3 linked regions of the Sus scrofa genome follow. The protein of the gene in region 3 interacts with the protein of the main gene of each other region in a pairwise test. Links are inferred from orthologs where the notes say so. Each region holds a gene or a part of one and is shown on either strand. Other genes may lie near its edges.

Region 1 (3,967 bases), on a different chromosome or scaffold from region 3:
TAGCTTTAATCATGATGTCACTTGAGTGAAGAAAAAGATTTAAAGTCAAATGAAGGTTGTAATGCATCACAATCTTTCAGTCCATGGCAGACTCCTGGGAGTCACTGTGATTATTGAGTAAAAAAAAGCATAGGACAAGGGACGTTTAAGATACGCACGTTTTTGGTTCTGCCACTAAATAGTTTTGTAGATCCAGGAAAGCTGTTAAACTTCTTGGAGTTTTTTTCTTCTGTAAGTTGGTGGGTAAGGATGGGAGAGGGGTTTAATCGTAAGGTTGCCTCTTTACCAAACAGCTTGATACATCAACACCGAATACAAATTATCCCACACAGCCTCAATGCTCCGCCCCCCTCCCTTTTTTTTTGGAAAGCCTTCTACGGACTCCCACATTCTCTTGCTTAGAATCATATACTGCACCTCCCAGGGCTGCTCACTGAACCCTTCAGTGGTGATGTTTCAAAAAGGGAATGAAATCTTGTTCGCTACAGTTGTGGAAACCCTAAGGATACGCCGGGCTCCAGGCTAATATTCCTTTCCGGAGGTTTCTGTCTCCTTGCTTACAGTTTTAGGCTTTTCCCAGCACTCATCGGTGATTAGCTTTATGTTAGGTTGTTCTGGGGAAGACGCCAATTTGCCAGATCCTGGCAGCGCTGGTTCATGCCAGGAGGTGGCACGGCAGGGCCTCACGACTTGGGGCCCTTCTTCATGACCCAATGCCTCAGCTCAGCTTGTGGAAATTCGTATGGTGAGAAAGCATTTTCGATTTTCTTCAGAAAAGGCCAACCCTGGCGTCACAACCATCACTATATAACCAAGATAACTGTTGAGCTAGGAAGACCCCACTGTGAGCCAACTAGTCCCAGAAGCCCACTTCTCCTCTCTGGGCCGGCAGGCAGTTGACGTTGAGGCTGGAACTACGAGGTCCAGAATCCCCTCGCGCACGCGCGCTTCCATTGTGATGCTCCTTTCCCGGTAACTCGCCCTCTCAGGCAAACCTGAAGATAGCGGCAATTCTCCGGTGGGGGCGGAGATGTTCTTTGCCTGACTCTCCGCCCCTTTCGTGATAGGCAATGGGACCAGCCAACCGATGTGGCGGACTCGGGACGCGTTCTCCAATCAGCACCTGTGGCGGAGAGGTGGGCGTGCGCACTGGCAGGGCAGGTGGGCTAGGCTGTGCTAGGTTGCGACGGGGGAGAATAACGTCGGGTCGGGTCAGCGGGCGCTGCAGTAGTCGCCGCAGCGGCGATGGGAGCGGTAGGGACCAGGCGGCGGCGGTGGCGGCAAGAGGAGAAGCAGGGGCTGAAACTAGAGCAGCGGCTGAGGGCCGCCAGCAGCAGCAGTAACTGCAGCAGCCGCCGCCGCCGCCAGTAAACGCGGACGGTACCCGAGGGGACTACTCGGCCGGCCGGCCCTCGAAGCCGCGCTGGGTCCCGCCGCAGTCGTCGGCGGGGGATGGGCAGGCGGCGGCAGTCCCGCCTGCTGTGGGTTGACTCCTGCGGGTCCCGGCCCTGAGCTGGACCGGAACCCTCCGCCCGAATCGCTGCGTTTGCCACGGCCCAGGTAGGACACACCCCCCCGGACCCCCTGGGCGCAGCTGGGGGAGCTCCGCACCCTGCCCTCCCCTACTCCTAACCCCCTCCTGCGGCCGCACCCCTAGCCCAATGACCGACCCAGGTGTGGAGGGAAGGGGTACCAGAGACTCCCGGGTCGCAGACTCCCTGGGTTTGTGCCAGACCTAGTCACTCCAACTCGGAGATCGCCTGCTTCTCCTCGGTTTCCCCAAAGGGTTGTGCCTCGTATCCCCAGAAGCTTTTGGTGTCTTCACTGAACTTCGAGGGTCACAAAGCTTCGTTCTATTTCTTTTTCTGTGGGTGACCCACATACCACTTGTATTCATGTTGAGTCTGGTACCAGGACTAAATCCAGGATTCTCAGCATATCCTGAGCGGTTCTTTCCCATCCGGCTCCCCCAAATGCGATAGAAGAGGGCATGGGACTGTAGAATCTGTTGTGTAGTAACGGCAATGGAGGCCCTGACTTTCTGGTACTTAGGGTGCAAGGTAGAAGGATTTGCTCGTCGTTGGCTTTGACTAAGATGATGTTGACACTCCGGGATGCTGTGGGAGGGACGAGAGTCCACACGTATTTACCTGCACATCCGAAGTAAATAATCCATTGGGAATCCAGGATACTTTATCCACAGTGAACTTAATTTTATTTGAGTCGTGGCTGCGTTAGAAGGTAAAAATGACATTGAGTTGTACTTTGCTTTGAATTAAAGTTGGTAGGTGGCAGCAATCCGGCATTAACTCTTCTCATCCCTTGCTTTAGAAATTGTTCTTTGAACATCAAAAAGGGCAATGTTGTTATAATTTGTGTTCATGTAAAGATGTTTTGGTATTAAATAGAAAGCAAGTTTTTTAATGCATGTATGAGGTTTGCATTATTATGAATGGGCACATGTACACACGGAGTATCCACTCAGTGTGTTTTTGTTACAGTGTTTGGTTCTGAGCCATTAATAACAGTTGCATTGGTTTCTAACACTGATTTGTCATGATGGGCCACAAAGATGTGTTTACTATATTCTTTTGGCTAAATATAATAGAGTAACGTTCATTTGGGTAGAAAGGGTGATGGGAGATTGATTTTAAATCTGAACACTGTATAGTTCTTTTTTAAATAAAGCAGTATTGAGAACAAATATTACTTATATGACTAATCTTGAAGAATTCATCTTAACTAAAATTTTTTCAAATAACAGGTGTGTGGACTTGGATTACATATTGTGATCTTTTGAAATTGAAAACATATTGAAAGGAATCTGTATAGAAGCTTATGTTTTCCTATGTGGTACATTTTTATCAAGGCACAAGCATGATTATGAAGGAAAGTTTAGCTAGAATGTTAGGAAATACTTTTTATTCTTTCAGTTTTAGACACATGAAAGAAATGGAAATCCTCAGCTTCATTAATTTAATTTGTAATATCAAATTGAAATAAATTTGATTTCAGTAGAAGGCTAAGAATGCTATATATCTTGCTCATTATCTTGTACTATGGTTAATACATAATTTAGTGAATTCTCTGTTGTACTATGTATGACTCAAGAATTTTGTGACTTCTTTTGACTTTTAAATATTTATTATTTTGATGCCTCAGGAAATCTTCATGAGATTAGTCTCATTTGCTTTAGCAAATTGAACTCCATTATGCAGTGCTTCAGCTATCTCTAAATGTAGTGTTAGAAGTGAAGTTTGTGTAATTTAGACAGCTTTTGAGGATATTTTACATTTAAAAAATGTACAAAAAATGTGATAGTGCTAGATTGTTGGTTTTTCATTTTGAACAAAGATTACAGAGCTGACTTTGCTATGATCATGGAATTTAACTTTGGGGGGCATTTTTTTTTTTTTTGAGTTTACAACTTTAAAAAAGTAATGTATTAAAAATGACAACTTAATTGCAATTTGTGAGAGTCTTTGAGCTGTAATCACCCAACTAAGGCACTTTCAGATTCCTAATCCTCAAAACCTGCATGGGACAATAAATGTTTGTTGCCTGAAAAGAAAAGAAAAGAAAGAAAAAAGTATAAAACAAGGAAAAATGTTTATTGAGCATTACTGAACTAGTGAAGGCCGAATTGATTAGCAAAATAGCCTATGAGAATTAATGGACAGCTTAGCTTGCTTCCTTCCCTACTTAAAAAAAAAACCTACTGTAAAAGAATTATCTTAATGATATGTGGCATTCTTTACAGTTTGAGTGTGTGTCACTCAGAATTACTCAATATGTATTCCTTTCTTTGAGGGTTTTTTTTTTTTGTTTTTTTGTTTTTTTTTTGTCTTTTTGCCATTTCTTGGGCCGCCCCCGCGGCATATGGAGGTTCCCAGGCTAGGGGTCCAATTGGAGCTGTAGCTGCCAGCCTATGCCAGAGCCACAGCAACGCGGGATCCGAGCCACGTCT
Region 2 (4,229 bases), on a different chromosome or scaffold from region 3:
AGCTTCTCGCTGTCGGACATGGCGGCGCCGCCGCTCTGGCCCAGCAGCTCCGGGCCCGCTCCTGCCTCCCACCCTCCCGCTGCCTCCTTCCGGCCTGGCTCTCCTTCCGCCCGGCCCGGCCCGGCCCGCCCCGGCCCGCCGCCCCGCCTCCTCGGCCGCCCGCTCCGCCCCTCGTCGCCCCGCCCCGCCCCGCCCCGTCCGCTGCCCCAGCGCTCTAGCGCCTCCGCCGGACGCCGGGCGCAGAGGCCCAAGCGGCCCGGGGGGCGGGGCCTCAGTCACGGGGCGGGACTCGGACGGAACGCCCATCTCTGGGGCGGAGCCTCTTGGTGGGCGGGGCTTCGAGGGGCGAGGTCGAGTCTAGTTCTGCCTATGAGAAGTTGGCCACCCCTTTCCAGAGAATATGGGACAGGAAGTGCTGTGGAAGTTGTTTTTCTCTTTTAAGGGCTACGCAGTCCTTCTCACCTCCGCCCTGGGCGGGAAGTTGGTGTGAGCTCATCGGTAACTCATTGGGTCTCCCCAAATACTGCCGATCAAGTCCTTGAAGTGCACAGAGATAGCAAAGGGTTGGTCCAAGACCTGGACCTAATTCAAGGGCCTCTACCTCCGGAGTCTCTGTGGCCCCCAGGTGACTGACCAGACCTAGAAACCTGTCACTAAACTCCAAGCCCATTTTGGTCCACAGTGCCTGTGATGCAAGCTGAATTAGCGGTTAATTTTTTTTTTCTTTCTCAGCTGCACGTGGAAGTTCCTGGGCCAGGGACTGAATCCAGGCTGGAGCTGCGACCTATGCCACAGATGCAGCAATGCTGAACCAGCGCCTCTACAGAGACAAGCCATACCACTAATCCGCTGCACCACAGAAAGAACTCCTATCTATGTATTTATTTATTTATTGTCTTTTTGTCCTTTTTAGGACCACACCCACGGCATATGGAGGTTCCCAGGCCAGGAGTCCAATCAGAGCTACAGCTGCCAGCCTACACCACAGCCATAGCAACACCAGATCCTTAACCCACTGAGCGAGGCCAGGGATCAAACCTGAAACTCCATGGTTCCTAGTCCGATTCGTTTCCACTGTACCACGATGGGGAACTCCCTGTTTTTTTTTTTTTTTTTTTATGTTTTATCATTGCCTTTTGAGTAGCATAATTAAGCTACATTGTGCGCATGTGAAAAATGTTATTTCGTGAAGAGCAAACATTCAATAAACCGTAATTCTCAGAGTTCCCATTGTGGCGCAGCGGAAATGAATCCAACTAGGAATCATGAGGTTGCGGGTTTGATCCCTGGCTTTGCTCAGTGGGTTAAGGATCCGGCGCTGCCGTGAGCGGTGGTGTTGGTCACAGACACAGCTCAGATCTGGCGTTGCTGTGGCTATGGCGTAGGCTGGGGGCTAGAGCTCCGATTAGACTCCTAGCCTGGGAACCTCCATATGCCGAGGGTGCGGCCCTAAAAAGACAAAAAAATTAAAACAAACAAACAAACAAAAAAACGTAATTCTCATTGGAACCTTGAATTGAGGGTTTTACATGCCAGTAACCTCAAATCTGGAGGCAGCCTGGCCTCTCTACCTCTGACAGGCCCTGGCTCCATCACACCCAGCCCACGACACAAACCTGTATCCACCCAGCCCACCAGGGTGGTGGGAGGAGCCCAGGGCCGCTAGGGCAGGCCGGAAGCGCCTGAGAGAGGAAGGGGTAACCCCCCCCCACTCTTGGGAGGGGCCCGAAGCGGGTGGCTGAAGCTGTGGCTGAGGAGGAAGTGAGCGGAGGAGGTGAGGTGCGGCAGGGAGGTAAGCCGGGCTGGTGCGGACGGGGGCTGGGTCTGGGTCTCTACACAGCAGCCTGGCCTTTCTGCCACTTCTGGTTCTTCCCCACTCCCCACCTCTATCCCACAATGAAGAGGGGACAGAAGAGGCTTGGTGAGATACCCTGAAGTCTGTCCCCTCTGACCACAGTCAGGTCCTGGGGCTGGGGACCTGGCTGGCCAGGGGCTGCCTCTCACCTTGGCTCTCCCCACGTCTTGCAGCCTGTTGGCATCAGGGGTCTGTGACACCATGGCCCAGGCCCTGGGGGAGGACCTGGTGCAGCCTTGTGAGCTGCAGGATGACTCCAGCTCTTTGGGGTCTGACTCAGAGCTGAGTGGGCCCGACCCGTATCGCCAGGCTGACCGCTATGGCTTCATTGGGGGCAGCTCAGCAGAGCCAGGGTAAGTGGCGAAGGGATGAGGGGGGCGTGGTGGGGAGCTGGGAATGAGGGTGGGCGCTGGGGGCTGAATTCTAGAGTGAGGCCCAACCTCCAGGGTCCTGGGAGGGGCACTGCTCTGCAGGTGCCAGGTGGAATCCTAAGGCTGGCAGGACTGCAGGGGGTCAGTCCCTGACTGTCTCTTTGACTCTCTGTCTCTGAGGCTTTGTACCCACCGTTGGGGCTAAACATTCTCCCCCTTTTCATCTGGCCCAGGAATCCCAGATCCAAATCGGAACCCACACCTCTTCCTCCGCCAAGCCTCCCCATTCCCAACACGCAGATGGGAAGACAAGTTCAGAGACAGATAGGAAGGTCACACAGCAGATCAGAGACAGAATCAGACTCAAACTCATGACTGCTGGCTTCTAGTCCAGGGCTCTGTCTATGAGTTGTCTCTGTCCCTATCCTGGGGGACAGCCAACCAGCCCCTCCCCCAACACACACCTACACACCCCTTTCAGCCTCTCCTGCTTCCGCCCACATCGGAGCCACATCCTTCCCTGTCCCCATGACAACCACTGGCAACTCCTGGGTGACTGGTCACCCCCAGCCAGGGCTTCCCAGAGATCTCCAGGGCCAGGAGTTGGGTAGCAAGAAGGGTAGCAGATACGGGCTCTAGGGAACAGGTGCCCAGCGCCTGGATGCCTGTGCCATGTGCCCGCAGGCCAGGTCACCCGCCTGCAGACCTCATCCGCCAGCGGGAGATGAAATGGGTAGAGATGACCTCGCACTGGGAGAAAACCATGTCTCGACGATACAAGAAGGTGAGGGGAGGGAGGCTCATCCCCCTGGGCCTCGGCCCACACCCTGGACCCCTCCTGGGTCCCAGCAGGCCTGCCTTTTCTCCCTGCTCCCCAAAGTGGCCTTCACAATGACCGGCTGGTACCTGGGGCCTGCCAACAGGAGCAGGGGAAGCTGGCTGGCCTGATGAGGCCCCTTGCTTCACCCGCAGATAAAGATGCAGTGCCGGAAAGGCATTCCCTCAGCCCTGCGGGCCCGGTGCTGGCCCCTGTTGTGCGGGGCCCATGTGTGTCAGAAGAACAACCCTGGCACTTACCAGGTGAGGGGATTGGCAGGGGCTCCACCGCCCCGGCCCTGGCCCTTTGCCACTCTGAGCCTTCACATCTGCCTTCTCGCCCACCCACAGAAACTGGCTGAAGCCCCTGGGGACCCACAGTGGATGGAGACCATTGGCAGGGACCTGCACCGCCAGTTTCCTCTGCATGAGATGTTTGTGTCACCCCAGGGTCATGGGTACGAGGCCACTCATGCCCAGGGACCTGCAGCCCCAAAAGCCCCAGGCACTCTGGCCTAATCGCCAGCCCAGCTCTATGTCTTTGCAGCCCAGAAGACCCAGCAAGGCCCCTGAAGGGCCGAGGCCTGGGCAAGGGACGCTAGAGGGTGGGAAGGGATGCCCGGAGGGCCGGCCCCTGACAGGGTCTCTTCTGGCACAGGCAGCAGGGCCTCTTGGAGGTACTGAAGGCCTACACCCTGTATCGGCCAGAGCAGGGCTACTGCCAGGCCCAGGGCCCCGTGGCAGCGGTGCTGCTCATGCACCTGCCCCCAGAGGTGAGTACCCTCAGCCCTGCCACAGGGACCCAAGACCCTGACACCCTAAGCCCAGGGAGCCATGACCCGAACCCCAGGAACTCTGACTTCGGTGACCTGAGACCCTTGACCCCCAAACTCTAATGCTAGGGACCTAGTGATCCTTTGCCCTGGACCCATGGAACTCTGGCCTCAGGGACCTGGGATCCTTGACACCCAGCGACCCAGGGCCTCAAGACTGCCAACCTCAGGGACCTTCAAGCCCAGTGACTTTGAGTCTAGGAACACAGACCCCTGACCCCTGACCTTTGCCCCGGTGATCTAGGAGTCTCGACCTCATCGCTTTGACCTCATGACTCCTGATTCTGAACCCTGGGTCTAGGATCCCTGACCCCAGTGACCCCAAGATCCTAGGACTTGAACTTTGGGACCCTT
Region 3 (3,500 bases):
GAGCTGTGGTGTAGGTCACAGATGCAGCTCAGATCTGGCGTTGCTGTGGCTGTGGTGGAGGCTGGCAGCTGTAATTCCAGTTCAACCCCTAGCCTGAGAACCTCCATATGCCATGCATGTGGCCCTAAAAAGCAAAAAAAAAAAAAAAAAAAAAAAAAGATATGTGTATTCAGTTAATATTGTTAACCTCCTTTCAGGCTCTTGGTTGTGAGATTATGCCTTTATCGTGTGGAATTATAACCACCATGATTTCATACCCTTTGACCTTACAGCTTTCAGAAAAGGGGAAACCATACGTTGACATCCAAGGTCTAACCGCTTCCACCATGGAGATCCTGCTGGACTTCGTGTACACAGAAACTGTGCACGTGACAGTGGAGAATGTCCAAGAACTGCTTCCGGCAGCCTGCCTGCTTCAGCTGAAAGGTACAGATGCTAAAGTCGAAGTTGTTCATGCCCAGCTGGCCTGGGATGTTTAAAATCTGTGATGTAAACTTATTTGTGAAAATTAAGGAGACAGACGGGGGGGCCTCCTGTTTACTGTCCATGGCACAGAAGATCAGTTCTCAATCACAGTGTAGAGAAACTGTTCCAAATGTGAGTGTCTGGCACTTTAGGAGTAGGATTTCTTTTCTGTTTTTAGAAAAATGGAGGAAGGGATAATAGATGCATTTTCTTCGTCCAGGGACACAGTAGTCCTGCAAGAAACACAGGAAACTGGTAGGATTCACTGCCTCCTTGGACGGGAACTAGATGGCCAGGGGTAGGGAGGCTGGGGGACTACTACTCACATAAACCCTTCATACCTTTAATTTTTTTAACCACAACAATTTTCTGTTAAAAATTTAAATCGACCCACAAAGGAGTTCCTGTCGTGGCGCAGTGGTTAATGAATCCGACTAGGAACCACGAGGTTTCGGGTTCAGTCCCTGCCCTTGCTCAGTGGGTTAAGGATCCGGCGTTGCCGTGAGCTGTGGTGTAGGTTGCAGACGCGGCTCAGATCCCGCGTTGCTGTGGCTCTGGCGGAGGCCGGTGGCTCCAGCTCTGATGAGACCCCTAGCCTGGGAACCTCCATATGCTGCGGGAGCGGCCCAAGAAATAGCTAAAAAGACCAAAAATAAATAAATAAATAAATAAATAAATAAATAAATCGACCCACAAAAATGAAAGTGTGGAGTTTTCGCAGGATTAGAAGTAGTCCCCCTTCCAGTTCCCAGTCTGTCTTTCTTAACCTCCAGTTCTGTTTCTGTTGTTTTCAGTTTTTAACACTTGATTGAAACAGTGTGAAGCTTTTGCATTAGTGTGCAGCTGTAAAATTAAGTTTATACTCTGAACTTTTCATCTAGAGAAATGCAGGAGTGTCATCTCTCAGTACCTCCTGTTTCTTTGACCAGAGTCTTTTAGTAAGTTTTCATGTGGAGTAGAAGTTAGGTGCACTAATTACAATTTACAGTTACAAATTACAGTTGGATTTACATCTTGATTCCTAAGAGTCTTGTCAGCATTTTTGTTTAATTATGGCAGTATCCGAGGTAGCAGTTTATCCTGCTGCACTTGTATTAATGCTGCAGCAGACCTGTGTAAAGAAGGCCTTGCCCAAGGCCACACAGTGCATAACACAGAAATGGGATTTGAATTCCCTAAGCGTAGACTTTCAAGGCCGATATTTCAGTGTTGAACCAGGGTTCCTCTGATATCGTGTGGAGATGCTGTGATCACAGATTACAGGGTGGCCCACCCCAGGAAGTATCCTCAGGGGCTCGCTGTCTGTCTGTCCTAGGCGTGAAGCAAGCCTGCTGCGAGTTCTTGGAAAGCCAGCTGGACCCGTCTAACTGCCTGGGCATCAGGGACTTTGCCGAAACTCACAATTGCGTTGACCTGATGCAAGCAGCTGAGGTCTTTAGCCAGAAGCATTTTCCCGAAGTGGTGCAGCATGAAGAGTTCATTCTTCTGAGTCAAGGAGAGGTGGAAAAGCTCATCAAGTGCGATGAAATTCAGGTACAGACCTGGCGTGGTCTGATGCTTTCTTCAAGATGGGGCCCTAAAACCAGAAAACAGGGTGGAGTTACTGTGCTTCTGGTACAAGGCTTTTTTGTCATGGGTTTGTAGTGGCTCCAAGGTTACACTAATGCCCCTGAACCTATGTGCCAACTGTATTTGCATATTTATGAAACTTATGATCCTGGTGGTTAAGAAGCACTCTCAAACAGTGTGGAATAAGCAGAAATGGGAAGTGAAGCAGCTTTCGGTAGAACACTTCCATTTCCCCTGCAGTCATTGGCAAACATCGATTGAGAATATCTACTGTATAGCAACCACTGTGCCCAGAGCTGGAAGTCCAAGAGGCAGTAGGATGCAGTCCTGATTCCAGAGAATTCAGTGAAGTGACAGTTTCATGCCTATTCAGAGTGAGAAATCTACGTAGGGGAAAAGAAGAGTAAGCCTTCTGGGCTTAATTGAGATCAAAAAGGCAGTGGGTCAAAAAGGACAGGATGTGGAGTTCCCATTGTGGCTCAGCATTAACGAACCTGACTAGTAGCCATGGGGACACGGGTTTGATCGCTGGCCTCACTCATGGGTTAAGTATCCAGTGTTGTTGTGAGCTGTGGTGTAGGTCACCGACGAGGCTCTGATCTGACGTTGCTGTGGCTGTGGTGTAGGCCAGCGGCTGCAGCTCCAATTCAGCTCCTAGTCTGGGAACCTCCTTATGCCATGGGTGTGGCCCTCAGAAGACAGGAAAAAAAAAAAAAAAAAAAAAAAGAATTTGAAAAAAAAGAAAGAAAAAAAATATTTTGGAAAGAATCGAAATTTGATTAATATTCTAAGTGCTATGGAAGGAGTTTGCTACTTAAAGACATTCTGTAATGCAATTCTATAAACAAGTGATTACTTCCTGATTTATTTTTTTAACACCAGGATTTTCAGGTAATAACAAATCAAATACATTTCTCATCAGCATTTTCTTGACACCTTTTCCTAATGAAGTTTCTCAGGGACACTGAAGGGGCACATTGGTGCCCTCGTTTCCGACTAGAGGAATGATTTCCACTATGATGCATGGTTTCACATAGGCCCAGAGGTGCTGCTCTGGCAAAGTCTGTGGAGCCAAGGGTTTGCTCTATTTTGTTCTCACCCTCACGGTGAGGGTGGGGGGAGAGTCTTTGTGCAGAATGCCAGGTGCAGGGGTAGAATGAGCATTCAGACGTGAGGCCCATTGTGCATGGTCATAAAATAGCATTGGTTCACTTATCAAATGTTTATTGAGTATGTAACTGTGTGCCCAGAACAGTTCTAGATGCTGGGGATCCAGTTATGGATAAAGCAGTCAAAAATCCCTGTGCCCTGGAGTTTCCATACTAATGGTACCATTCTTGGCATTTTTCATCTTAATTCTCAGAACGGTCTCCATTTTTCGTAGGAGGAGACTGATGCTGGGAGATTGGTCACCTACCCCAGCTAGGAAGTGGTGGGGCCAGGACTCACCTCGATGACAGCCTCTT

Evidence for each region. The genes of interacting proteins can lie anywhere in the genome.
Region 1: the proteins of KLHL12 (region 3) and TTBK2 interact in binary tests that used the Homo sapiens proteins (3 or more experiments, as listed by UniProt). The two-hybrid records come from large-scale screens. The link is inferred for Sus scrofa from reciprocal best matches to the Homo sapiens genes KLHL12 and TTBK2.
Region 2: the proteins of KLHL12 (region 3) and TBC1D10C interact in binary tests that used the Homo sapiens proteins (3 or more experiments, as listed by UniProt). The two-hybrid records come from large-scale screens. The link is inferred for Sus scrofa from reciprocal best matches to the Homo sapiens genes KLHL12 and TBC1D10C.

What each region holds. Positions count from the first base shown.
Region 1 is NC_010443.5:128,488,519-128,492,485, forward strand, and holds the start of TTBK2 (tau-tubulin kinase 2), read left to right. Parts: upstream 1-1,167; 5' UTR 1,168-1,560; intron 1,561-3,967.
Region 2 is NC_010444.4:5,116,028-5,120,256, reverse strand, and holds the start of TBC1D10C (carabin), read left to right. Parts: upstream 1-1,429; 5' UTR 1,430-1,774; exon of another isoform or gene 1,775-2,028; 5' UTR 2,029-2,056; coding exon 2,057-2,208; intron 2,209-2,910; coding exon 2,911-3,010; intron 3,011-3,198; coding exon 3,199-3,306; intron 3,307-3,393; coding exon 3,394-3,500; intron 3,501-3,700; coding exon 3,701-3,815; intron 3,816-4,229. Other genes in the region: PPP1CA (serine/threonine-protein phosphatase PP1-alpha catalytic subunit), read right to left, coding at 1-20.
Region 3 is NC_010452.4:24,889,482-24,892,981, reverse strand, and holds part of KLHL12 (kelch-like protein 12), read left to right. Parts: intron 1-272; coding exon 273-426; intron 427-1,780; coding exon 1,781-1,998; intron 1,999-3,500. UniProt on the Homo sapiens protein: Substrate-specific adapter of a BCR (BTB-CUL3-RBX1) E3 ubiquitin ligase complex that acts as a negative regulator of Wnt signaling pathway and ER-Golgi transport.